Alligator mississippiensis: one gene and its partners. The protein of the gene in region 1 purifies or fractionates together with the protein of each later gene. This does not show direct contact. Links are inferred from orthologs where the notes say so. Each region holds a gene or a part of one and is shown in the gene's direction. Other genes may lie near its edges.

Evidence for each region.
Region 2: the proteins of SNX9 (region 1) and DNM1 purify together in Homo sapiens (co-immunoprecipitation; 6 studies listed by BioGRID and IntAct, counting the BioPlex papers as one, with this or other methods). This does not show direct contact. The link is inferred for Alligator mississippiensis from reciprocal best matches to the Homo sapiens genes SNX9 and DNM1.
Region 3: the proteins of SNX9 (region 1) and DNM3 purify together in Homo sapiens (co-immunoprecipitation; 3 studies listed by BioGRID and IntAct, counting the BioPlex papers as one, with this or other methods). This does not show direct contact. The link is inferred for Alligator mississippiensis from reciprocal best matches to the Homo sapiens genes SNX9 and DNM3.

Annotation. Positions count from the first base shown.
Region 1 is NC_081824.1:136,046,606-136,054,754, forward strand, and holds the start of SNX9 (sorting nexin-9), read left to right. Parts: upstream 1-4,403; 5' UTR 4,404-4,556; coding exon of another isoform or gene 4,557-4,568; intron 4,569-8,149. UniProt on the Homo sapiens protein: Involved in endocytosis and intracellular vesicle trafficking, both during interphase and at the end of mitosis. Required for efficient progress through mitosis and cytokinesis. Required for normal formation of the cleavage furrow at the end of mitosis.
Region 2 is NC_081835.1:57,699,898-57,708,137, reverse strand, and holds the start of DNM1 (dynamin-1), read left to right. Parts: upstream 1-4,633; 5' UTR 4,634-4,926; coding exon 4,927-5,087; intron 5,088-8,240. UniProt on the Homo sapiens protein: Catalyzes the hydrolysis of GTP and utilizes this energy to mediate vesicle scission and participates in many forms of endocytosis, such as clathrin-mediated endocytosis or synaptic vesicle endocytosis as well as rapid endocytosis (RE).
Region 3 is NC_081828.1:44,900,939-44,909,358, reverse strand, and holds the start of DNM3 (dynamin-3), read left to right. Parts: upstream 1-4,796; 5' UTR 4,797-4,834; coding exon 4,835-4,980; intron 4,981-8,420. UniProt on the Homo sapiens protein: Microtubule-associated force-producing protein involved in producing microtubule bundles and able to bind and hydrolyze GTP. Most probably involved in vesicular trafficking processes, in particular endocytosis.

The DNA of each region.
Region 1 (8,149 bases):
ATCACGTGGGCAGGGTCACCATGGAGACTGGCCCAGATAGGGCTGCGGACAGGCAGGGCCAGGGATGAGATCAGGATTGCTGAGTGGTGACTGTGCAGGGCTGGGGCCCAGGGGAGAGCCACAATCCATTGCCCACAAGTCCCTGCCCACCCATCCCACTGCCAGACGCTCTCTGCTTGCCCATGACCCCATCCCATCTGCCCAGTGATGTACCCTGCCCACGCGGACCTTGGCTGGTTTTCATGGAGAACCTGGGATTGCTGGAGTCAACATGGGGCTGGGGCCCAGGGAAGAGTCACAATCTGTTCCCCATATGCCCTTGCCCATGAGCCAGTGCTCTGCCTTAACCCTGCCTGCCTGCCCCACTCCCAGATGCTGCTCCCCACCTGGCCAAGCCTGAGACAGAGCCACTTAGGGAGTTTTGATGAGCTGGGGGTGGGGGGTATTGACAAACACTCTAAACACCTGGAGGAGAAAATAATTAGGAACAGTCAGCATGGATCCACCAAGGGCAAGTCATGCCTGACCAACCTGACTGCTTCCTATGATGTGATGACTGGTTCTGTGGATGTGGTATACATTGACTTTAGCAAGGCTTTTGATATGGTTTCCCACAACATTCTTGCAAGCAAGCTAAGGAAGCTAAGGAAGTATGGGCTAGATGAATGGACTATACAGTGGATAGAAACCTGGCTGGATCATCGGGCTCAGAGGATAGTAGTCAATGGCTTGATGTCTACTTGGCAGCTAGTATCAAGTGGAGTGCCTCAGGAGTCAGTCCTGGGACTAATTTTGTTCAATATCTTCATTAGTAACCTGGAAGATGGCATAGAGCGTACCCACTGCAAGTTTGCAGATGACACCAAGCTGGGGGGGAGTAGTAGACATGCTGGAGGGTAGAGTTAGGATTCAGACAGAGAGACCTCAACAAATTGAAGGATTGGACCAAAAGAAATCTTATGAGGTTCAATAAGGACGAGTGCAAAGTCCTGCACTTAGGACAGAGCAATCCCATGTCCCAGTACAGGCTGGGGGCTGACTGGCTGGGCAGCAGCTCTGCAGAAAATGACCTGGGGAACAATAAGCTGAATATGAGCCAACAGTGTGCCCTTGTTGCCAAGAAGGCTAAGAGTATACTGGGCTGGATTAGTAGGAGTGTTGCCAGCAGATCAGTGATTCTTTCCTTCTATTTGGCACTGGTGAGGCCACATCTGGAGTACTGTGTCCAGTTCTGGGGCTCCCACTACAGAAAGGATGTAGACAAATGGGAGAGTTCAGCAGAAGGCAACAACAATGGTGAAGGGGCTGGGGCACCTGACTTATGAAGAAAGTGTGAGGGATCTGGCCTTATTTAGTTTGGAGAGGAGAAAGAAGACTGAGGGGAATTGGATAACAGCCTTCAACTACCTGATGAGGGGTTCCAAAGAGGATGGAGCTGGACTGTTCTCAGTGATGGCAGAACAAGGACCAATGGTCTCAAGTTGCAGCAAGGGAAATTTAGGTTAGATATTGGGAAAAACTCTCTCACTAGCAGGGTAGTAAAGCGTTAGAACAGGTTATCCAGAGAGGTTGTGGAACCTCCATTCTTGGAGGTTTTTAAGACTTGGCTAGACAAAGCCTTGGTTGGGATGATCTAGTTGGGGATGGTTCTGCTGTGAGCAGGGGGTTAGGCTAGATGACCTCATGAGGTCCCTTCCAAACTAATTTTCTATGATTCTATTATTCAGAGACTGAGGTGAGGCTGATTAGTCTGTAGTTCCCTAGATCCTTTTTCTTCCCTTTCTTAAAGATGGGCACTATATTTGCCCTTTTCCTATCATCCAGGACCTCCCCTGACCACGATGAGTTTTCAAAGATCATGGCCAGACGCTCTGCAATCGCATTGGCCACCTCCCTCAGCACTCTTGGGTGCATCCCATTCAGTCCTGTGGACTTGTACACATCCACCTTTTCTAATTAGTCCTTAACCTGTTCTTTCACCACTGCCAGCTGCTCACCTCCTCCCCAAATTGTGCTGCCCAGTGCAGTAGTTTGGGGGCTGACCTTGCCTGTAAAGACTGAGCTGAAAAAGGCATTGAGTACTTCAAACTTTTCCACATCCTCTGTCACTAGGCTGCCTCCCCATTCTAAGGGACCCACATTTTCCCTGATCTTCCTCTTGTTACTGACATACTTGTAGAAACCCTTCTTGTTACCCTCCATGTCCCTTGCTAGCTGCAACTCTAGCCGTGCTTTGACCTTCGTGATTGTCATTCCTGCATGCCCATGCAGTTCTCTTATACTCCCCTCCCTAGTCTGTCCAAGTTTCCATTTCTTATAAGCTTCCTTTCTGTGTTTTAGCTCATTTAAGAGTTTCCTGCTAAGCTAAGCTGCTCTTCTGCCATACTTATTAGTCTTCCTGTACATTGGGATGGTTCATTCCTGCACCCTCAAGTAGTTTCTTTAAAACATAACCAGTCCTCCTGGATTCCTTTCCCCATCAGACTGGCCTCCCAGAGGATCCTGCCCATCAGTTCCCTGAGTGAAAAGGTGATTTTCTTAAGTCCAGGGTCTTTACTCTGCTGTTCTCCATCCTGCCTTTTCCTCAGGATCCTGAACTCAGTCACCTTTTGGTTGCTGCTGCCCAAGTTCCCATCCACTTCTATATTCCCCACCAAATCTTCCCTGTTTGTGAGCAGCAGGTCAAGAAGAGCATGGCCCTTAGTTGGTCACTCCTTCACTTGCACCAGGAAGTTGTTCCCAGCACTCTCCAAAAACTCCATGGATTGCCTGCGTACTGCTGTATTGCGCTCCCAGCAGATGTCAGGGTGATTGAAGTCCCCCATGAAAACCAGGGCCTGCAATCAGGAAATTTCCACTAGCTGTTTGAAGAAAGCCTTGTCCACCTCATCCTCCTGGTCTGGTGGTCCTATAGCAGACCCCCACCACGACATCACCCTTGTTGCTCTCCCCTCTGACCCTAAGCCAGAGGCTTTCAGTGGGCCTGTCTCATTTCATACTGGAGCTATGAGCAATCACACAGCTCTTTTACACAAAGTGCAACTCCTCCTCTTCTCCTCTGCCTGTCCTTCCTGAACAGTTCATAGTTTTTCCTCATCTCCAGTATAAACCTATGTTGCTGCAACTTCAAGTCATTGGTCTGAGTTCCTGCTGTTTGTAGCAAGACAGAAAAGGTCTTCTCCCTCATCTTGATGGCAGCCCTTCAGATATTTGAAGTCTATTATCATGTCCCCTCTTAAGCACCTTTTCTGCAAGCTGAATATGCCTATTTCCTTCAACATCTCACACGGCTTGCCCTTTATCTTTTTTGTTGCTCGTCTTCGGACCCTCTCTAACTTCCTGAGGACAACTGTATAATTACCCTATTTCTTTAACTTGGGATTGAAGATGTGGCTAAAGCTGCCCCCTCCCACTACCACTGCATTTACAAACTATGCACACAGTGAGTGTATGCAGATGTTTGTTTGTATTGCTGTCCCTGTATTCCCTACCTCCCCATTTTAATCTACCCATTACCTCATTTTCAAAGGCTGTAAATTAAGCAGGTTTAAGAATAACCTTTATTCTATATCCGTGTACAGCACCTCATACAATAGGGCTCCGGTCTGGTTGGTCCCTTAGGTGATACTGTAGTACTCTGCATAATTACCAATGCCTGCCAGGGCCCACCCACATGACACATGCCGATGACGAGTGAAGTACAGACCAAAAAAAAAAATGCTGTGGAAGAAACTTGATGTCATGGAAGATTAATTTCCTCCAGATGCAGGTTTCTGAAACTCCTGCTTCAAGGCTAATGGCTGGTGGGCCAGCAGCTTTCCCCTCCACAGATGAGACAAACTAATCCTCCTCCCCCACACAAAAACACACTCACACAGGACACACGTGGGACAGACTATTTCTCTTTCCACACATGAGCACACACACAGGATGCACTAGTCTTCCTTCCACACAGCACACGCACACAAATGGGATGGACTATTCTTCCTTTCCTAGACACACGCATGCACGCACACACGCAACAGACTATTTCTTCCCCACATGAAAACACATGCATACACTTGTCCCCCACGTGAACACACACAGAGGACAGACTATTCCTCCTCCCCCACACAAAGACACACACACAGAGGACACACGCGGGACGGACTAGTCCTCCTCCCCCGCCCGAACCAACACACACGTGCGCACACCAGTACACGCGTATCTCACACACGGGACGGACTCTTCCTCTTCTCCCACACGCATGCATGCACGCACTAGCTGTCTGTCTGTGTCGCACACACACGTGGCTGAGGCGGCCCCGGCCCCCGGAGCGCCGCTCTCCCCGCCGCGCGCGGCACCAGCCCCGGCCCAATCCCGCCCTCGGCCCGGTCCCGTGCTGCCCGTGGCGGGGGGCGGGAGCGGGCGTGGATAGGGCAGAGGCCGGGCCCCGCCCCCCACTGCCCCGGTTGCCGCGGCCAGGGTAGGAGCCGCCTCCGCGCCAGCGGGCGGGACCGGGATCGGGAGCGGACGGAGGAGCAGGAGCGGGCGGAGGGAGGCCCCGCACCGCCGCCATGGCCGCCAAGGTGAACACCAGGCCGGGGCCGCAGCCCCGGGACCCCCTCTTCCCCCCGCTGCGGGCTTGGGGTCCCGTCTCCCTCGGGCAGGGCCTGGGCCCGGCTCCCTGCGGTCTGGGCCGTGCTCCCAGGACGCAGAGCCCGGGGCGGACAGCCGCTGGGGTGCCCCCCGGCCCGGCCCCTTTCCCGCGGCACCCGCCCGCTGGTCGCCTCAGTCTGCCGCCCCGCTCCCCCCCTGGCGCTGCCCGGGTGCCAGGGCTGGCTTGGTTTTGGGGAGGAGCTGTTGGAAGCCCTGTCTGGAGAGGTGCTGCTTTTTGTTGCCACTCTCTGTCCGCTTAATTGGTTTGATTGCCAGGGAAGAAACTCGTGGGGTTGGTTGTAGCCCCGTTGGTCTAAGGGCACGGGCAGACGAGGTTCTTAGGGTAAACCCGATCTCTTTTATTAGAAAATAGTTGGAAAAGCTGTTTTTTGCAAGCTTTCGGGTAGGAGCACCCTTCTTCAGGCAGAGGGAGTGACTGCAGTTGTTTTGTGCTCTTCTGGACCGGGCGGGAGCCAGGGCTGTTCTGTGTCATGGAGCTGCAGGCCACACACAGGCCACAGTTATCCTTTCAGAGAGGCGATGGGCATTTCTTGATACCAGCTGCTGAAGTAAGGGCCCTCTCAGACAGGAGATAACCTAAAGTGACCGCTTTGCCGTTGCTGTGCTGTCTTGCAGCAAGGAAGTGGAGAGTTGTGGTGGTCCTGGGGGCACCTTTGGATGTGGTGAGCGAAGAGTGTAAGAAACCAGCACTTTGTTGCTGTAGCTGTCACAGAAACCAAGACTGTAATTGGGTTTTCATCCATGACCTCTGAAACTTGTCCCTGTCACTCAGCCATCGACTTTCTAGAATCAGTAGAATACTTGTTGGAGAGGGAATGTGACTTTGAGTGAAAGGTGTGGGCTACATAAACACCACCTCGTTCAGGGTTTTTCTTACCTTATTGTAACATTTAAATATATCTCTGCTACTGGTATCTGACTGAGGCACGGTTTAATCTTGGAGTTTATATACTACAGTACTTTATAAAGATTTGCAATAGTGTACTCTGGGTCAGCAGTGTGTGCTCTGTCTTTCTTCCCACTTTTATCGTAGTTTGTAACTTGTTTAGAGAAGAATACTCTCTTCAATACAATTACCTGGTGGGCAGTAGAGCTGCAACAGTTTTCAGCTTCATCTCCTTAATTTTGAGGGGAAGCTGGGTTTTCTTTCAGGTGTAAATACCTACTTGGCTTTTTGTTTTGATATACTGATAAGAGAGTAGCCTGTTACCTTGGCCTTAGCGTGCAATACATTTAAGAAAGCTTTATCTGTCATGCTTTAGATTATCAACAATAGGTTCTACTTTTAATTGTTGATGGTCCATGCAACTTCAGTACACCATTCAGAAACATAGCTAGCTATTTTTTACTTATATGAAGTAGGATTTTAGTTGTCACAGTTATCTTTACCCCAAGCGGTCCTCTTCCCCTTTCAAACTTGCTAACTCCTATTAGATCCTGCTAAATGTTGGGGAGGTACTTGCAAAAATGTTACCAAATCTTGTTTCGGATTTGTGTTACCGTGACTTGGTGGATGAGGGTTGGTTTAGGTTTTTTGGGGGTTTTTTGAGAGAAGACCACATTTTAATGCTCTATATACAGTGATTTAAGCCAGAAGACTGTTGTGATCATCTAGTTAATTGATTCTCAAGCAGAAAGTTTTAAGGGTGCCACACAATATTACTACTATTAGCACGAAGACTGACACGTGATTGACAAACTCAGAGGCTTCCAATAAGATTCCAGAGCATCAGAAACATTCAGACATGTGGTGTTTGTGTTCTTTGCAACAGAAGAGTTCCTCTGTTGTTTTTCTGCGCTCAAAACTGAGTGAGAGCAAAGTTAGCATTTTCCAAGGGGTGCCTAAAACACTGAGAACAACTGATCTTAATCTGACCTGCAAAAACACAGGACCTCCCCGAACAACTTTCTGTATTTGAATGTTGTATTTTTGAAAAAGTAGCTAATTTTAATGTTAAAAAATGGAAACTCCGTCACAACTCTCAGTCAAGACTTCCAGCAGTTAACTAACTCGCTGTTCATAAATGCGCTCTATTTTGAATTTGGTACTGTTTAGCTTTAAGCTTTCAGCCATCAGCTCTTGCTGTACTATTGTCAAGTAAATTGAAGAGCTTTCTGCACTCTCTCCAATTGGTTTCCTGCCCTGCCCCCCTCCCCCTAAAGTGCCTTTTAGCGTTGTTGTCAGTGGAGGGACATGGGTGCGTCTGAGAGTCTTATTCCAGACATTTAGATCTTGTTTTTTTTTTTTTGTTTAGAGGTTCTGAAGGCCCTCAGCTTTAATCTGTGTCAGTTGAATTGAGGACTACTTGGTACTCCTGAAAATCATATTGCATGCATCATGTTGGATACCTAATGATGAGGCATCCAAAAGTACCATATGCTTCAGAAAATGTTACCATTAATTTCCCTGTTGCTTTGCTTTCCTATTTGTGAAAAAGTGAATGCTGCTCTGATTTGCAAGTTCACAAGGAGGCTTTAGTAAAACTTGTAAAGCTTTTTGCTAGAAAAATGCTGTTTGCTTCACAGAATTTCTTCAGTTTACTAGTAGATTTCTTAGAGAAAAAATGGCTTATCATTTACCTCCATCGCCACAGTAGCTTGCAAGGTTTTGATTTAATTTGTATTGTGCCATTTGTTACCTTTTAAGCTTTATTGGGTTGGGGATGGGAGTGCTGCAAATACCTGGAAACAGTGTGATGACCCTTAAATAAAGGGAGCTTTAGCTCAGCTTAAATGTAGAGACCTATTATTTAATAAAGAAAATACTCCTGTTTCTTAGGAGGAGCCTTATTTTTAGTTCAAGTCAGTCTTTCAACAGAAATAAAACCTATAATAGGAGCCTGTGGGTCAAGTACACTGATATTCAAGGCTGTTTATTTAGCTGCTGCATATATAGCTTGATCCTACACTGGGCACTAAATTGAAAGTTAAGGCTAGCATCAGGAGCCGATCCTTCAAGTGTTCATGCATATGAATAGTCCCACTGAAATCAATGAAACTAGTTGTATTAACACCTGTTAATAAAATTCGGTGCTTAATTGCCATCTAGGGGCCCAGCCAGATGGGGAGCTCTGAGCCTGAGGCAGCTGTGAGGTGCCCAGGGCAGTGCAGGCTCTTGCCATGCCAATTGCGGCAGCAGAGTCATCTACCATTGAGGCACTGACTACTTTTTCACCTACCCGCAAAGGTTCCCAAATGACATAAAAAGGTTTTGCAGTGTTCTCAGCTGTGCTCTGCTGCATTGATGTCTGCTTGCCCTACAGTAGGCAGAGTTAGTTTTCTGGTTTATTGAGATGGATGCAATCCAAAATTGAAAAATATGCATCAACAAATTAAATACCTAACATTCAAGAAATGTCTTCTGCTTCTAAATATTTATTTGCAAGTATAATATTAATGTGAAATTGATTTCTGAAGGAGGAGTATTTAACAAAATGCTAACAGCCTCAAGTACTACAGTGAGTTGGGGGACACGTACTGTGCAGACCAC
Region 2 (8,240 bases), on another chromosome or scaffold:
TTTTCCTGAAGCGTGTCACAAGAGAACTGCTCTTCTGGCGTGGATCAGGACCTGGCGAGGTGCAGTGGTGTTAAGCCCAGTTTGTGGAAATGGCAGTCTCCCCCCTTGCTTGCTCCGAGGGCCGCAGGGCTGAGGACAAGCAAAACTCAGGGGCATCTGAACCCCAAGCCCCCGGGCTTGGGCCTGCAAGTAGGATGCCTCCCAAAGGTTTTGGAAACAGCTGAAGCCCCAGATGCGGGTGGAGGATGGTTGCCGGTAGTAGGCCGCTTATGGTTCTGGACACTTGGATTTAGCATTAGTTTTTGCTAATGTGGCTGTGGATACAAATTAAATGTATCTAGATATATCCATCTATCTACCCATCTAGATCTATTTCTCTATCTATATAGATATTTGCTGGGTTCTGCTGTTTTCCTGTCTGATCCACCCAGGCCATAACCAGCCAGCTGGGAACCAACAGGGCATTGACTACTTAGCTATACGCAGTACTTGGTTATCCAAACTGTTTGTACAGGAAGCGTTGGGATGCTACCATCTATTCTTCAGCCAGCTAACATACAAACTTGTTTGCAATATTTCTTGCTGAATACCATCTATAGATAGATAATGTCCACAGGATATAAATTTAGATACTATTTTGATGATGCCTTCCCTACAATAGCCCCAAGTAACTTCTATTTACTGTTTTCAGTCCCACATGGATGTAACATAGACTTAGTTACTATTTTGTGTTGCCTCTCCGCATTTGAAATGCACAGGGAACTCATCTACAGGTCTTAAAATAGTCATTCATTCTTCCAGACGCACGCTTGTCAAAAATCCCTTTCCCACTGGGCTACAAAAATTACATGTATTCATTACCTTGCTTAAGTCCTGACATCAGTGGAGCTATACCAGGGATAAATTTAATTTAATCTGCTTTCAACGATATTTGCCATTGTTGAAGGTTTTTGTAAAAGGGAGGAGCGTGAGGTGGGTTCTACCGTGTCCTGTTTCAGAACTGAAGGGGAATGGAGCAGTTATTTCACTATTTTTTCCTGACTGCCAAAGCAACACAGGCAGAAACAAGAATTTGGGGGATGTGCGTGTTCCAGATAACTGTTCTTATGTCAAAAACATTCCTCTTGCATGTCTATGTTATTCACTAGTGATATAAAGATACTCTCCTACACTGAACCATTTGGCAATCCCCATCCCTGATCTTTTAAAAGTTTAGATTCTTACCTTGGATTGTAGAAGTGTCCTGGGAACAAATCTGTGAAGAGCATGTGAGGTTCCTCTGTAATCTGACTGTCAGAAATTCTGAGCATTCACAACTCTGGCTGAAGGCTGGGACCCATGGGGCTCAGGATCTCTGAAAAGGAGATTCTTAGTGAGCAGGACACCAATGGCAATTATAAAAATTACTAATCTTTACATGGGATCTGGTATACTGTTCCACTGGGGTCTGAGTGTATTGACAATACACCTGGATCTCTCCTGCAGAGGGGCAGCCTGCTGGCATTTGCTCTACTGGATGACTTTTTAAAGGATGTGCTTTTCCAAAAGGGCTTTTAAACTGCAGTAGCCACATAGTTGGCAGATGTCTTTGCATAAGTACATTTGTCCCAACAAGGGCAGGCAAAGTTCTTTGAGTAGATGTGATATCTTTTATTAGACCAACTGAGTAGCTGGAAAAAAAGTTCTTAGCAAGCTTTCAGGCACAATCACCCTTCTTTAGGCATAAGAAGTCTCTGCTGCTCTGACTAGTGCACCCACGCTGCCTGTTAGCACATCAGTAGATGGAGCTGCAAGCAGCAGCATCTTTATGTGAAGGTACAGTTTTAGAGATTAATTTAAAAGTATGGCCCTAGATCTTTAAACCATCTTAAAGAAAAGGTCTCCCTTTTCCTTCATTCATCTGTTCCCAGGCAGCACTTACTAGCCTAGAAATGATCTTGTTTTTTCTCTTCCATTCCTGTTTGGAAATGTCCTTTTTTATTTGTAAGATAATTTCTCCAAGGATCATCACTTGGCTCTTTTTATTTAACTACTGGTACAGCAGGTGTGTAAGTCATCTAGAAAGGCAATGCTGTACAGTCACAAAGCCTGCTACACTGCCCTTTGCAGACACCATTCCTGTGCACAAGCTTTTACATGAGCAGAAAATTATTCTGAGAGGTAATAAGCACATGCAGTTCTACTTGATATCAGACCTCAGTTTCCTTCATACCTAAATTTAGGGCTCTGACTTTGCAGGCCATGATCTGTATGACTGGAATCATCACAGAACTGACAGGGCAGACTAATGCTGTGGCAATATTACTGACAATTGAGAGCTTTGATATCATGCACACATGCCATATCCTCCTTTACCCGAGTGCACCTGCAAAACAGTAAAAGGTGAAGTGCTTTGTGCAGCTTACAAAGTAACGTTCATGGTGACTGACAGGCTCGGAGTGAAAATCTCAAGGCACTTTGCCACCGTTTCTGCAGATTTTTTCTTCTCCCTTTTTCCTCCTTTCTTGGAGGCTTGGGAAGAGAATCTGCTTTCTTCTGCTTGCTTCCCTAGCACTTTCTTTCAGGCCTCTCTTGCACCAGGTAGCATGGCTACTGTGATTAGATTGAACCAGGCAGGGCATAAAGAGCTCACCTCAGAGCCGTAGGTTCATTGATTCTCGCAGCTTTCAACTTCATATCAGTATAAAGGCAAGAATACCTAAGAGCTCATAAATGATCCTGCTGCAAATTCTGTGTTGCCTCCAATCCATCCAGTTTCCTTTCCTTTCCCCTGGGACATTAATTTTTTTTTCAGTGTGAAAATCAGCTGTTGGCACAAAGGTTTGCTTTTTTGCAAACCTTTTCTAATAGAAAAACAAGTATATTCATTTAATTTTAGATCTCACTGAGAACAGGAGGATTCCAAGTGATGAATTCTGGGGAACAGGCTCATCCGGAGTGAAACACCTGTTTAGAATGTGAAACAGCCAGATGGGGGCAAAATCCAATATCAGCACAGTTTGAGGCCGCTCCTGTTAGCACAAATGTTGACCATAGCAATCAAATACAATCAATTGTATAGGAATATTAGAAATGCAGATTAAAGCAAGCTTCTAGCAAATGGTAACTTTCCTACCAAGATTGCTAGAGGGGGACTGCAAAGATGTGTCTGGCGAGACTGAAATGATGTTGCTCCTTAAAGAGGCTTGGACAGGAAGGAGGGCATTCTTGATGCCTGTTTCACACTTTGCTGATATCTCCAAGGGCAGGAGTCTGCCAGGGAGAGAGGGTAATATTGTTATTTCAGACTCTGCCTGTATGAATCCTCAGAATGAGAGGCGGCTCACAGCAGAGAGAGAAATTGGCAACATATGGCTGTGTGCACCTCTTAACCTCCACTAGGGTTATTAAGCTTGGCCCTCTTTGAGGTTAACTAGGCTTGATAGCTTGGAAGGAAAAATAAGTAGTGGTTTCTCCTAAACACCACCAACTGATGGCCTGAAAATGATGCATCACCCACAGCACGAGATGCAGATCTTTGATTCTCCCCGCTTACCTTTCTTGCGTGAGGAATGAAAGTTAACAGCATGGATGATGTAAATCATCATTTGACATCTGAGCTAACATGTCCCTGATACAAAAAGGGCATTTCACACCTCTCAGAGCTATAGTTCCAGGCTCTGCAGTTTCATACAGGTGTGTCTGCATAGCTCACAGTTGACTGATATTTGTGAGGTTTTATGTACAATTATAATAGCTGAGACTTATTTAAAAAACTGAGAGCAGAAATTCTGGAAAATAAGATGGCAGCTCAGGCAAAGGGCCAAAGTACTATGCTTTCAGCTGAATCTGAGCCTGGAACAGGAATACCGTTTAGCCTCAGTTACAATGGCAGTTGAGATGCTATATATTTTCTTGAGCCACCACTTCCTTTGTTTTTTTCCCAAACACACTACTGTTTTCACCTGGGCATACTTCCAATGTAAATATGGCCCTGCATTTTATTTTTGTAGCTACCCTTTCACAAACCCTGAAATGGAAGACTTTCTCTTTGTGAAAATTAGAAAAAAAGAACCGGTGGAAACATCCTATTAAGTATTTCCCTGCATATTTGGGAAATGGCAACAAGGTCCGAGTGTGCTGAATAAGAAACTGAAATGGATCACTTCCCGGTCGGATGAAATGCAAAACGCAGAGATCCAAAAACAGAAGGCCAATCAGAAATACAAGAACATAACCTTTCAGACCAGTGATTTCAGGTGTTGACTATTTACAGAGACAGTACTTCACATGTTGGAAGGGATGGTTTCACAGTGCCCTTCCAGCGTGCAGAGTCAGGGCACTGATCATTTTGTGCTTCTCCAGGTTCAAAGAAAGAAGACAGACTTATTCCTACTTTCTGTACTGCAAGGTATCCCTGATCGTGCAAGAGATCAGCGATCATGAAGCTGTGCCACATCTCAGCTTGTAGGGCTGGATTTTAATTTCGCCTTTTAACTCCACTAGTGAGGATTTTGCTTGCTGAGACACTGGAAACATCCCTCTTATTCTACTCTTGCTGCATAGCCCGCTTTGGCCGCCCACGGACACTAGAGAGAGAAACTACAAGTCCCATGAAGCTCTGGGCGCGCCGGAGGCATCACGGCGCCCCCTGGCGGCGGCTTTCGGTCGCTGCGCTTTAAATCCAAGCAGGAGCCCGGCGGGTAGCGGGTCTCGAGCTGGCAGTCGGGAGCAGCGCTGCTGCCGCAGAGATCTAGGGACCTGGGCAAGGTCGGTGGAGGCGGAGGGCGAGCCAGCCCCACTGGCCACGGAAGGGTGGGTGGGGACAGCCCCCCATGCGGGCTCGGGGGTCGATCCCCACCAGTAGATCTTTTGCAAAGCAAGCGGGGGAGAAGGAGGCGGTTGCATTGCAAGCCTAGAAGGTGAGAGCCAGGCAGAGCTGCAAGCATGGGGAACCGCGGGATGGAAGACCTCATCCCCCTGGTGAACAAGCTCCAGGATGCCTTCGCAGCCATCGGCCAGAATGCCAACTTGGACCTGCCCCAGATTGCTGTGGTCGGGGGGCAGAGCGCCGGCAAGAGCTCCGTGCTGGAGAATTTCGTGGGAAGGTAAGATTGCAAAGACACGTATGATTTTAGGGGTCGTTCTAGTGCTGGATCCTGATGTGTCTGTATCTTGTGCAAGGCATTACTCAATATGCAGGCAGTGCAATTCAAGCAGGGGGAGGAGGGCTGATCTTGCTCCCATTGACTTGGGGTTTGTGTAGAAGGAGCCCAGTCCCTGCTGCATGCACACGCTCTACAGCTAGGATTGCAATGCAGGGTATAATGCAGAAATCCATGAGCGGTGACACTGTCACCTTCAGTAGCCCAGGGGTCTCTCTCCGCAGCATATAAGTGTGTGTGTGTGTATAAGTGTCAAGCTCTAAACTGGTTAGATCTGATTGGCAGCGGATCAGTGCTGGGCCTCATTGCTGGGTAGGCTCTCATAGGGTTTGGAGAAGGGGGAGGTGAAAGAGGTTCCCACAGATCCTTCTCTGGAGTGACTAATGCACAAAAGAAGCCATTTGTCTGAAGGTGGAGAGGGAGTGAGGAAGTCATGGAGCTAAATGCGTTGTCCACAGCACAGGAGATTTAATGGTTTAAATCTTAAATCATTTATTTATTTTTTTTTGAGACCTAAAGACAGGGAGGCAGGATTCAGGGGAAGGAGCTGGGATAGAAGGATGTCTGCCCCCCTTCACACTGTTGTCAGAGGACAATTGCTGCTGGACATGGAGGGGGCAGGCTGAGGAGTATGGGAGGGAGGGCACTGCTTCAAGGAGAGAAGGAATAACATAGATTGGTCTGTACATTCAATACACCCTCGTAGAGATACAGCAAAGCACAAACAAAGGCTCCCTCCGTTATGTAATCTCAGGAGGTAGAAATGTCTGAGGAAAATAGCCACAATTGGTGTGTTCTCCTATTTTATCACACCTTGGGGACCCTCAAACCTGTGCCAAAAATGATGCAGCTCCTGAATCATTATTGGCATTGAATCATCTATGTGGTTCTGGAAAGGGCTGATCAGTGAATACTGCGCATGCAAATACAGAACTGTCTATGCAAAACCCGTTTGATACCAAGATAACCTTTCCCTGCTGTTATCTGAGCACATCCTTCATGACTAGATGTCTTATTTGTTACAAGTTTCACCCTGAGGAATCCTACAAGGTGAAATGCCTGCTAGGAAGGCTAGGTTAACACAGCTTGTCCTCTGCTCTTGATTGTGACTGGCTGGGTGCAAGACTTGCCCCCAATGCTATGCAGCCCCCTAAAGATGGAGGTAGTTGTTAAGAGGCAAAACAACAGTGTCATTTAAGTTTAATTTGATCCCCACCCCAGTGTCTGCTTCTGTCCTCTATGGTGGATGCCATGTCGGGAGCTGATGGAGAAGATGCAGAAAGGATTGGGTTGTTTGTTCCCCTGTAAGCTCTGGGGACTACCATTTTGTGACAGGAAGATTGATGCTTTCCCTTCATGTAACATTCATATTAAATCATCAGCAAATTCAACAAATAGCAGGTAACCAGAGAAGACACAGACACAACACCTGGAGATCTTTCTGAGCTTGTCTGTAGCCTGGTTAAGCTATTGTAGCCATTGTGATTATTCTTGCCTATCGGGAACTACCTTCCTCTGTGACCATGATGCAGGTTGCAAGGGATTTTCCTAAGACAACTGCTATGATAGTGCTGTGTTTTAGACCTCCCCTCACACCCCTCCTGCCCAAAATTTGACAGTCTCCCATTTCTTCCCCTTTTACTGTTCTCTCTTCCCCACACTAGCCTCTGCACTGTGTTATCTGCCAACAAAAGACTTGTAAAGCTTTTGTATTGTTAAGAGAGCCTGTAATGAGTAGAAATAGCTCTATCTTTGGTACCTGAACAGACCCCATCATAGGGACTTAGACTCGGGCAGCCCTCAGAAGTAAGACTGTGTGTAGGCAGCACAGCTTATTTAAGAGAAGGCATAACTGCCGCTCCTGGGGAAATTAAAACACTGGGATCAGAGTAGTATTTCATGCAAAATATCCTATAGGCACATGTAAAAGAACAGCCTGGGATTCTCACTTGGTGATTATAAGGGACCTATCTGGAGCCTACTGATGATCCCATTCTGATTGTTCGTGTGCCTGTGGGCATCACAGCAAGGAAAAGACCCCCCCCCAGTCGGCTCTTACACTAATACTGCTACTAACTTTATCCCTGTCCAACCTTAGAGCCACAGTCATTGACCTGGAATCTATTGTGTTAGGAGGCTGTAAAAACACAATAAAGGATCCCTGCCCCCAAAAACTTAATACTCTGATAAAGCTAATTGAGAAGGGAATAAGATCACCAGAACCACTGCTGAATAAAACCCTAGTTAACCTGTTGGGTTGTCTGCTTCCGTGGCCCCTAACAGCTGATGGTCAAATCTATCGAGTCTTGTCTGAAGGCACTGCTGCAATGGCGTAATTTATAATGCATGACCACTGAGCCAGGAAAGGGCTCTTCTAAGGGACGCTCAGCGTATCGGGGAATGTAATACCTTTCTTTCAGATTTTTGCAAGCATTAGGGGACACAGTCATCCTTGGTGTAACTCCACTGTTTTCAGTTGAGAACTGGAAAGTGTAGTTGCCTGATGGAGGGTAATGAGCTGATTTCTGTTTTCCATCATTTTCTGATGATCTGTACCCTAGGAGTACTTGTGACCATGCTGTGTCCTATCAGTTGTCTCCATGGTAGCACATTAAGGTGCCACAGCTTTTAGAATAATTAGATGACAAAAGGGTCTGCAAGCAGGAACTGACGGGACAAAATAAAAACAAACCATTCATGGAAATAATTGGAGAGAAAATAGAAAATGTATCAAAGGGAGGAGCTGTTGTCTCCTGCTTGATGCCATTCAGTGGCTTGGTGACTTAGGGTCTCGGTAATGGGTATGAAACCTCTCATAACAGAAATCCCTGTACCTACCATACAAACAGCCTGGCCCCAGCCATATTTATCCATGAATGTCTCCTAATACAATTTGTTTTTACCTGGGTGGATTTAAACCCCCTCCCCCCCCAAACAAAACAAAAAAACCTGTCAAAGAGCTCAGGGTTTTTTTCCCCTCATCAGTGTCTCGCCTTAAATACAGTTCCTTAGCATAAGTATAATTTTTTTTTTCTTCTGTGCACGCAGGCAAACTGAAGTGGTTTGAAAGTATAGTGGGTCCACACACTGCTTTAA
Region 3 (8,420 bases), on another chromosome or scaffold:
CTTGCCTTAGGCCCTGGGCTGGATCTGGGCCATGTAGGGTCCTCCTGAACCCGATCCATAAAGCCAGCAGCAGCTGCAGCAGGTCTAGACCCTGCAGGTCCACAATGAGGTAATTGCACAAGTTGGGAATTGTGGCAGTGCATGTCCAAGTGTAAGCAGCAGAGCAAGTTGGGGAATCAGGTGGGAGCACAGGTTGGGAAATTGGGTGGCAAGCATGTGCTGTGTAGCCCTCACTCACCCTGTGCTGCTGAAGGCCATGTCCATCAACGTTCAGGGACCCTGAATTCTGCAGCAGCCCATTCTTCATAGGGCACATACCCAACTTCTGGTAGTCTTCCAGACTGCTGGCTAGGATGGTTCTGTGAGCTGGATTTAGCCTGCAGGCCATGCATTTGACACTCCTGGCTTAAACAATGTCTGATGCTACAACTTTGAAGGGTGACCAGAGAATTGTTTATGACACAGGATTGCAGGCTTTGGGATATGGGACAGTTGTTTATTTGTTTTGTAGGTCACCAAGGAAACCAGATAGAGAATCCCCGATTATTGGCAGGGCTTGCCACCTTTGGGCCAAGCTTTTGTTTCAATGACAAAGTTCCTAAACAACTTCTAGCAAGTCAACTGTCGCACTCAGCCCAGTAAGAAAATTAAGACCCATACACTCTCCTGAGGCTAATGGGCTTTTAGGAGAATACAGGAAGAGAAGCATCACATTTTTCATACCTTAACTCATTTTCTGTTTTGAGAAGCTGCCAGGGTCAGTTCAGAAGTTTCACGTTAAAAATATTTTGTACCAGTTTCCACTGAGGGAGAATCACTTCCAGTTTCAAATAATGGCAATTTTACTGTTTCTCTTCTGAAAACTTCCTGTCAAAATCTACCTGTGCTTTACATTTTTGTGGTGTAATGTTATTTTGGGGGGGGGGGGGGGGGGAGAGAAATCAAAGGACATTGGCCAATCTATCAAAAAGAAGCCATATATAACTTTCTAAATGTAACTTGGGTGTACACAGGTTTGTACTCCCCTCTCCAATTGGAGGGAATTATTGGCAGGGCAGGGTGCTGTGGAGGGACACAGGAGACTAGTGGCCGCCTCTGTCCCCTATGGAGTCAGACCCAGTCAAATCAATTACTTAACAAATTTGTATATAGTTATTACAATAAAACCATTAAGGGTAAGGACATATGTTTGTAACCCGGGCGGTACTCCAAGATGTACCCCCTCTCCAATTGAAGGGATCAGAGCAGGTGCACAAGCATTGTGGGAGGTGTAGGGATCCTCCTTCCCCTATAGAGCAAAGCCAGATTACCAATGGGGACTTAACCATATACCTTTTAATGAGAAAAACAGTAGTGGGAACATAACATGTGTAAACCAGGGGGTATAGGGAACACTACAACACCCCGAGGGGGCAGGATTCAATAGAAGTTAGGCACTTACAATCCTAGACATATTCTTCCAGTTGACAAAAAGACAGGTTTAACAAAATATAAAAACGCAAACAGCAGAACAAACAATACTGGTTGGCAAAATATAAGAGGCACAAGATACAAAATGACAAACAACAAGAAATATAGGGGCTAGGTACCTGGAGGGGGGGGGGGGGGGGGAAAGAGGGAAAACACAATGACCCCCTTCCACTGCAACAAGAATTTCTCCCTGTCATTTCACCTCATTTATCCTAACTAGGACTTGAACTCAGAGCTCTCACATACTATGCAGAAACTCTACCACACAGCCACCAGTGCTAGTATTGCTGCAAACTGCTGGGGGTTTTGACTTTCCAAGAGCCCCTGCCTCACATCAAGCTTTCTTGCCTCTTGCTGGAGAAGCTGGAAGCAAAGCTGGGAACCTCTCAAGTCACTACTCAGCTTCTTGCTGGAGCTGGGAAACCTCTCCTGCTGGCCACAGCCTCTCATAGGGGGATCCTAGAGCCCAGTGGGGAGCCTCTCCTGCCAGCTACACACCGTGCCTCTGAGGGTCCAACTGCTGCCTGCAGGTCCCACTCCTTCAGGTGCTTCTGGGGCAACTGCTCCTGCCCCGCTAGCCCAGCTCTTGCCAGCTCTTTGAAACTCCTTCCTCCTGTTCCCTTGCTGGTCTCCAAGTCGGCTGCACTGCCCCTTTTATCCCCCTCCAGGTGACCCGAGGGGCCAAATCAGGGGACATGGAAGGTGAATCTCTGGGGCCCGATTGATGAGGAAAGGGAATCCAAAGCCCTCCAATCATCTTTTACCCTTTCAAAACCCCTGGGCCAAATCATTACCAGGTAGCCCATCACATGTACACATTTACAAAACAATTAACCTTATACCATATACACACATTATTCAAAAATACAAGTGAACAACAGAACAACCCAGAACAAAGGATATTGATTGGGCAACTTTATAACTCTATTAATATACAAACTATTACTTCAACTTATTCACATAAACTACAAGGCACAGGCTACATATATAACAAGCAACCCTTAGACTACCTGGGTGCCCTCCAGGGCAGGGGCCCCACTCCCAAGGTATCACTACAGGAAAGGAGATGGAAGGAAAGAAAAGGAGAGGGAGACCCCAAAGACTCCTAAGCTCCCCCTGCTATCATCCAGGAGCAGCCCGTGAGGTGGCCCTTCACAACCCTGGGGGTCCCTCCCCTGTGGGAACCCTCTCTCCAGGGTTACTTACTACTCCACAGTCCCGGAGGGTTGCCTCCTGTTCTCCAGGTTGAGCTCTGTTCCTGCTGGGTTTTCCTGCCGCCTGACTACTGTCACTGGCCTGGCTTAGGGCCACATGCACTGCTGTGTGTAGCGGGCGCTTTACCTCATACTAGGGGTTGGAGGCCTGGGCAGCCTTGTGCAGCACCAGGGCTTGGTCTGCTCCTGGACCATCTGTGCAGCGTTGTCTGCACTTAGCTCCCAGTCTCATGTGGAGTTTGAGGACCTGAGCTGCTCAAGTGGCTCCAAAGATCCTGCTCCATACCCCAGCCTGTGCACCATCTCTGGCTGCACGCCAAAGGTTGCAGACCCGAGCCACTTCATGCAGCTGCCAGGATCTGGATGCCGTGCTGCGCCCCGAGAACCTAACCACTGGAGCCATCTGCAGCTCCCGGCTGATAGAAGTTTTCAGGGGCTACTGCTATACCCTGCTGAGCAGCTCTCCTCAGCTCTTCTAAGCCCCGCCCTTCTCTGTCCCTAATGCATCTCCCCCCTGCTGGAGGCACAGCTCCTTTTATACCCTCCAGGGCTCTGCCCCTGAAGTCTTCTGAGCCTGACAGTGTTGCAGTCTCCAATCAGGTCCAGGGGAGCTCTTCTCTCCCTCCCATCAGGAAAGGCATGTGACTTCACTTCTCTTACTGCCTCCTGATTGGTGGATGGGCTCCACCAATCAAAACAGCAGGATCTCAAACCTGGGACTCAGCCCAAGCTCTGAAAGGTAAGCCTGCTACATAAATTTTAAATATATATATATTTTTTTATCAAGACAAGTGAATACAGCTGACCGGCTTTAACTGCATAGACCAATGCCTGATGCATAGACTTAGAGGCCTGATGCCTTTGAGGATGTAGGTTGTAGCTATGTTGGTTTAAGGACATAGGCAGACAAGGTTCTTAATCTTTGGGTAAATGTGATATCTTTTATTAGACCAACTAAACAGTTGGAAAAATTAATTGACCTGCCCTCCTCACTCCAGACCTGCTTTAGAAGCCTGGCAGCAGCCAGCTTCAAGACGATGCAGTTCAGAGGAGCACAGGGATGTTAGAGTGGAGGTAGCAGGCCCAGGAGATACCTGATGCTTGTGGTGGTCTGAGTGGTTTTGGCAGTTCTCATGATATTGAGCAAGTCAGGGGTGAAGGGAAGCACTAGGCTCTCAGTAATTCTCTGGCCCTCCTGGCTGTAGAGCAACATGCTCCTTTGGGACTCAGCTTCCCCCTCAAGGCTGAGATGTGAAGCCTTGAAGGCAAAGCAAACAAGCCTAAAAATCACATGCACACGCTTGCACGCCTCTGCAGACTTCGAAAGAAGCCCCCAAAGTGGAAGAAAAGCCTCACTTCCCCTCTGTCCTCAGAAACACAGGCCCCCTCCCCTTGTCCCCCAGCCCCCCCACCTGCTTTCCCTACTGTCCCCAGGTGCAGGGCCAGATTAATCCTTTACTGGGCCCTAGGCAAACAAATGTGTGGGTCCCAAGCTGGTTGAGACCCCCTTCCCCACCCTGGTGCTGCTGCCACGGGGAGTGGGTGGGGCTCAGCTGCTGTGGGGAGGCTGGCAGAGGGGAGGGGGAGGGAAGGGAAGGGAGGAGAGGTGGACAGGGCCACCACCTTGGAGGGAAGGGCCAGTCCCCCTCAGCTCAGGGCTCTAGGTCCGTGCCTAGTTTGCCTGTGTGTTAATCCAGCCCTGCCCAGGTGGGGAAAGCTTCAGAGCTGCTCCTTCCCCGTCCAGGAGGACTTGTGTGGGGCTGGGCTAAGACGAAGAGAGAGACGGGGGCGGACGCCTCTGAGCGAGGCAGGGGGACGCTCATCTGCTTCGGGAACTTTACAACGGCGTAGGGCTCGTGCCCGCAGGGCAGGACAGGGCTGCAGCTGGGGGCGCACCCCCTTTGCCAAATTCTGCATCCGCCCCTGCTGCGGGGGGCGGGTCTTCTCCAGGACTCCTGGATGCCCCACGGGGCTTCTATCACTCGCAGGCGCCACGTCCCCGCCCCAGGCAGCCTCCGGCAGCCGGGACAACACGGGGGGCGTGGCAGGGGCGTGTCCCGGTCGCCCCGCCCCGCCCCGCCCCGCCCCCGGGGTGCGGCGCGCACTGCGCAGGCGTGCGGCGCAGACCGTTACCTGGCGGCGGCGCGGGGATGGAGGGGCTGATCGGGCTAGTGAACCGGCTGCAGGACGCCTTCGCGGCGCTGGGCCAGAGCTGCCTGCTCGATCTGCCGCAGATCGCCGTGGTGGGCGGGCAGAGCGCCGGCAAGAGCTCCGTGCTCGAGAACTGCGTCTCCAGGTGAGGGCGAGGGCGGCTTCGCCGCTGCTGCTGCTCGGAGCCCCCGCCCCGCCCCGCCCCGCCCCGCAGCGCCCGGCACCTTTGGGCGGCTGCGGCTTGTCCAAGGGCAGGCGTGCGGGCAACGGGTGTGTGCGTGTGTATGCCAGAGGGTGTGTGTGCATGCGCGTGTGTCAAAGGGGGTGGGGGATATCGAAGGGGGATGTGTGTGTGTGCGTGTGTGTGTGTGAAGGAGGGGGTGTGTTGAAGGGTGTGTGCGTGCGCATACATGTGTTTCAAGCCTCCCAGTTAATGCAGGTTTGTTGCCAGGCTGCAGAGGAGGAGGCTGCCCGCCGCGACCAGGGATGCTCCATCACCCCCGTAAACAACCCCCTCTCCTCCTCTTCTCCCACCCCCTGTTTTTGGTAGTGGTGGGTCCCCTCCACACAGGTGTTGAGCAGCATCCTGGGTTTCCAGTGTGGCTGGTGTAGCAGAGAGATTCAAGCAGTGAGTGGAGGGTGGTTGGGTTTTGGGTTGTTTTTTTTTTTGCTGTGGCAGCTAAGACAGATGTTGGGGACCAGATGTGTAGTGTTCCAGTGACACCAGCGACTTCATGGATAAAGTCTGAGGCTGGGCTGTGACTTTGCTTTCTCGTGTGGTTTCCACTGCACATGCAGGAGGGTGGCATCGCCTTTCCCTTTCCTTCCTTCTGAGAAGCAGACAGGGCTCCTGTCTCACTAAAGTGCTTAGTAATGGGGATTCCATTGGATGTTGGGAAATGTGACAGTGCTGCTACATTCATCAAGGGTATGTCTTGTATTCAAAGAGGCTGACATCTCTTTGGAAGGCGGATATAACATGCAGCTCTGCTAAGCTGTTTGCTCAAAATGTGTATGGAGAGCACACTTTTTAACATGCCCTGGGAAAACTAGCATTGTTTACAGGATATCAATACCATTTTATGCTAGGATGGTTTGCAGTAATCTCTCTGGGGAAATATAACAGTGGAAGAGCTGACTGTAAATATCACCAAGGTTTCTGTTTTTTGCTGATTAATTGATTGGACTTAAAAGTGATCCAACTACTGTGGCTTGGCTGGATTGAGCTCCTTGATAGCAATTGCAGTAGACAGCACTTTGCAACAAATACAGTGGTGGCTTTATACTACAGCAGTCTGAATTCATAGAAATGTTGAATAGAATTTCTCTGCTCCATTCTTTGCACTTAGGCAGGATCAGTTCCTTACGCATTTTTTTTTTTTTTTTTTTTTTGCTTTTAATTTTTTCAAATTTTCAGCAGAGATGGTGTACCTGTGCAAGTAGAAAAACCCTCTGTCTGCCTCTAATGCACTTGTATGACAATTACAGTAGGGTCATCTTTCATCAATTGGAAATTAAGATATTTTGGTCTCCACAGCAGGGGCTGCTGCTAGAGGACCCAAGGGGCTTTGAGCTTTATTAGGTTAGGCCAGAGATGAGCAAAATGGTGGATCCGGCTGGTGGCCAGACTCCATTTCCCAGCAGCTCCTGTCTGTGTCGCAGCTAGTTTCCATGAAGACCCCAGGAATAGCGGGGCTGTGACACTGCGGGGCCAGGGTTTCCATGGAGACTGGCCCCAGCAGCACTGTCAGGACACACGGCTGGAGGGGGAGCTGCTCCGGGGCAGGGGTTGGGATGTTGCAGTGATGAAACATGGTCCAGAGATGGGGCAGAGCCATGATCTGCTGCCTGCACACCCCTGCCGTGCGCCCTGCCAGCACTTCTGCGTCCAGTCTCCATGGAAACCCTGGTCTTTCACTATCATGGCTCTGCTGCTCCTGGGGTCTCGAGGGAAACCCACTTCAGCAATGCAGGCAGGGGCTTCTGGGAAATAAGAGTCCACTGTGAGCTGGATCTGGCCTGTGGACTGGACTTTGCCCGCTGCTGGGTTAGGTGCTTCACAGATGCAGTGTAAGAGAGAGTCCTTGCCTCAAAGAGCTTGCAGCATAGCGCAAAACACAGCAGTGAATTGGATGTGGGAGTCAGACTTCTCATACCCTTGTCAGAGAGGAGCTAACTCAGTAACTTGGAGATGGGAACAATTTTTGAAGCACAGGTCAGCAGGAATTAAATTGCTTTACCTGCAGATCAGCCATCTATAGCTACTATAATTTGGGTGTCTCTGGGCAGTGCTGTTCCCAAAAATGTTAAAAAGAGACTTTTTAAGAATGAGAGTTTCCTTTCTGGGAGTACGACATTTATTTAGTCAAGTTCTGAGGTTTTGGAGCTGATGCAAGTAGGTTCTTACACTCTGGATATACAGGCAAAAGCTCTTACACCTTGTTAAAATGCCAGCTGTTATTAAGTGAAATAGGTAAAATCTTAACATACATACATGAGTAGAGCACATTCTCATTGCAATCTCACTTATGTTTTGCTCTGTATAGAATTATTTCAGTTATTATTCTACTCTTAATGTGTTTTTTCTTTCTTTTTTTCATTCTTATGGGTCATCAACAGATTTTGAACCCACAACCTTTGTCTCCAGGTACCATTTCCAATTCAGTTCTATAGCTGTAACAAGTGGCTGGAAAGCATCTTGTTATCCTGTGTGGAGGAGGCCCTGCAGGGGAAATGCAACATACACATCACATTACCAGTAGATCACATAAGTATTGGTGGGAAAAAGATTTAACTTTAGACATTGGGATACTTGTTTATTCATCCTGGTACTGGGCATATGTTATGATATAGTGTTTACAGAAGGCAGAAACAAAGAGAAGAAAGCATCTATTTCAGGCATTTCTGGGACTGAATGAGGGATCAGTGGACGTAAAAGTGAGTTTCCACCACTTGGCCAAAGGAACCAGATCTTTTGGTGTTCACACAGTAACAGAATTGTCATTTCCATATGTGGTCTTGCTGCCAGAGGAAGACACAGGGCTTCACTAGATTACAGAAGCATTTGATTTACCTCTCTTCCTTTTAAAAGACTACGGAACAGTGTGGGTAGACTTGGGCTTTGTTCCCAGCACTGTGTGTAAGTTCTTTGTTATCTTGATGTGGACAACTGATAAACATCACTTTACTCACCGAAGGTGGTAATATTAAGCTGTGTTTCATAATAGAGTATGAAGAGGGCAAAGGAATTCTAACAGCCATAGGATTAGAATTTATTACCTCTTGCCTTGCAAATTCAGTGCACCTTCTGCTGGGTTCAGGGACCCTGAGGGACAGTTGGCAGATTGCCTATACCTTAGGTTAAATACAGTAAAAAAGCCAGAGGCTGAATTGATTCAGTTTTTGCAGGTTAGTCTAAGCTGCAGAGATTAAACTGAGAAACAGTTGGACAGACATTCATTTTTGTTTATTCAGGAAATGCAGCCACATGCCTGCAGTGGCTCAGGCCAGAAGCCAGGGGGTGGTAGAGCATTGCTCTCTAGCATATAGCCAGCATAGGCTGTGTATTTGCTTCCTCTTCCTGCT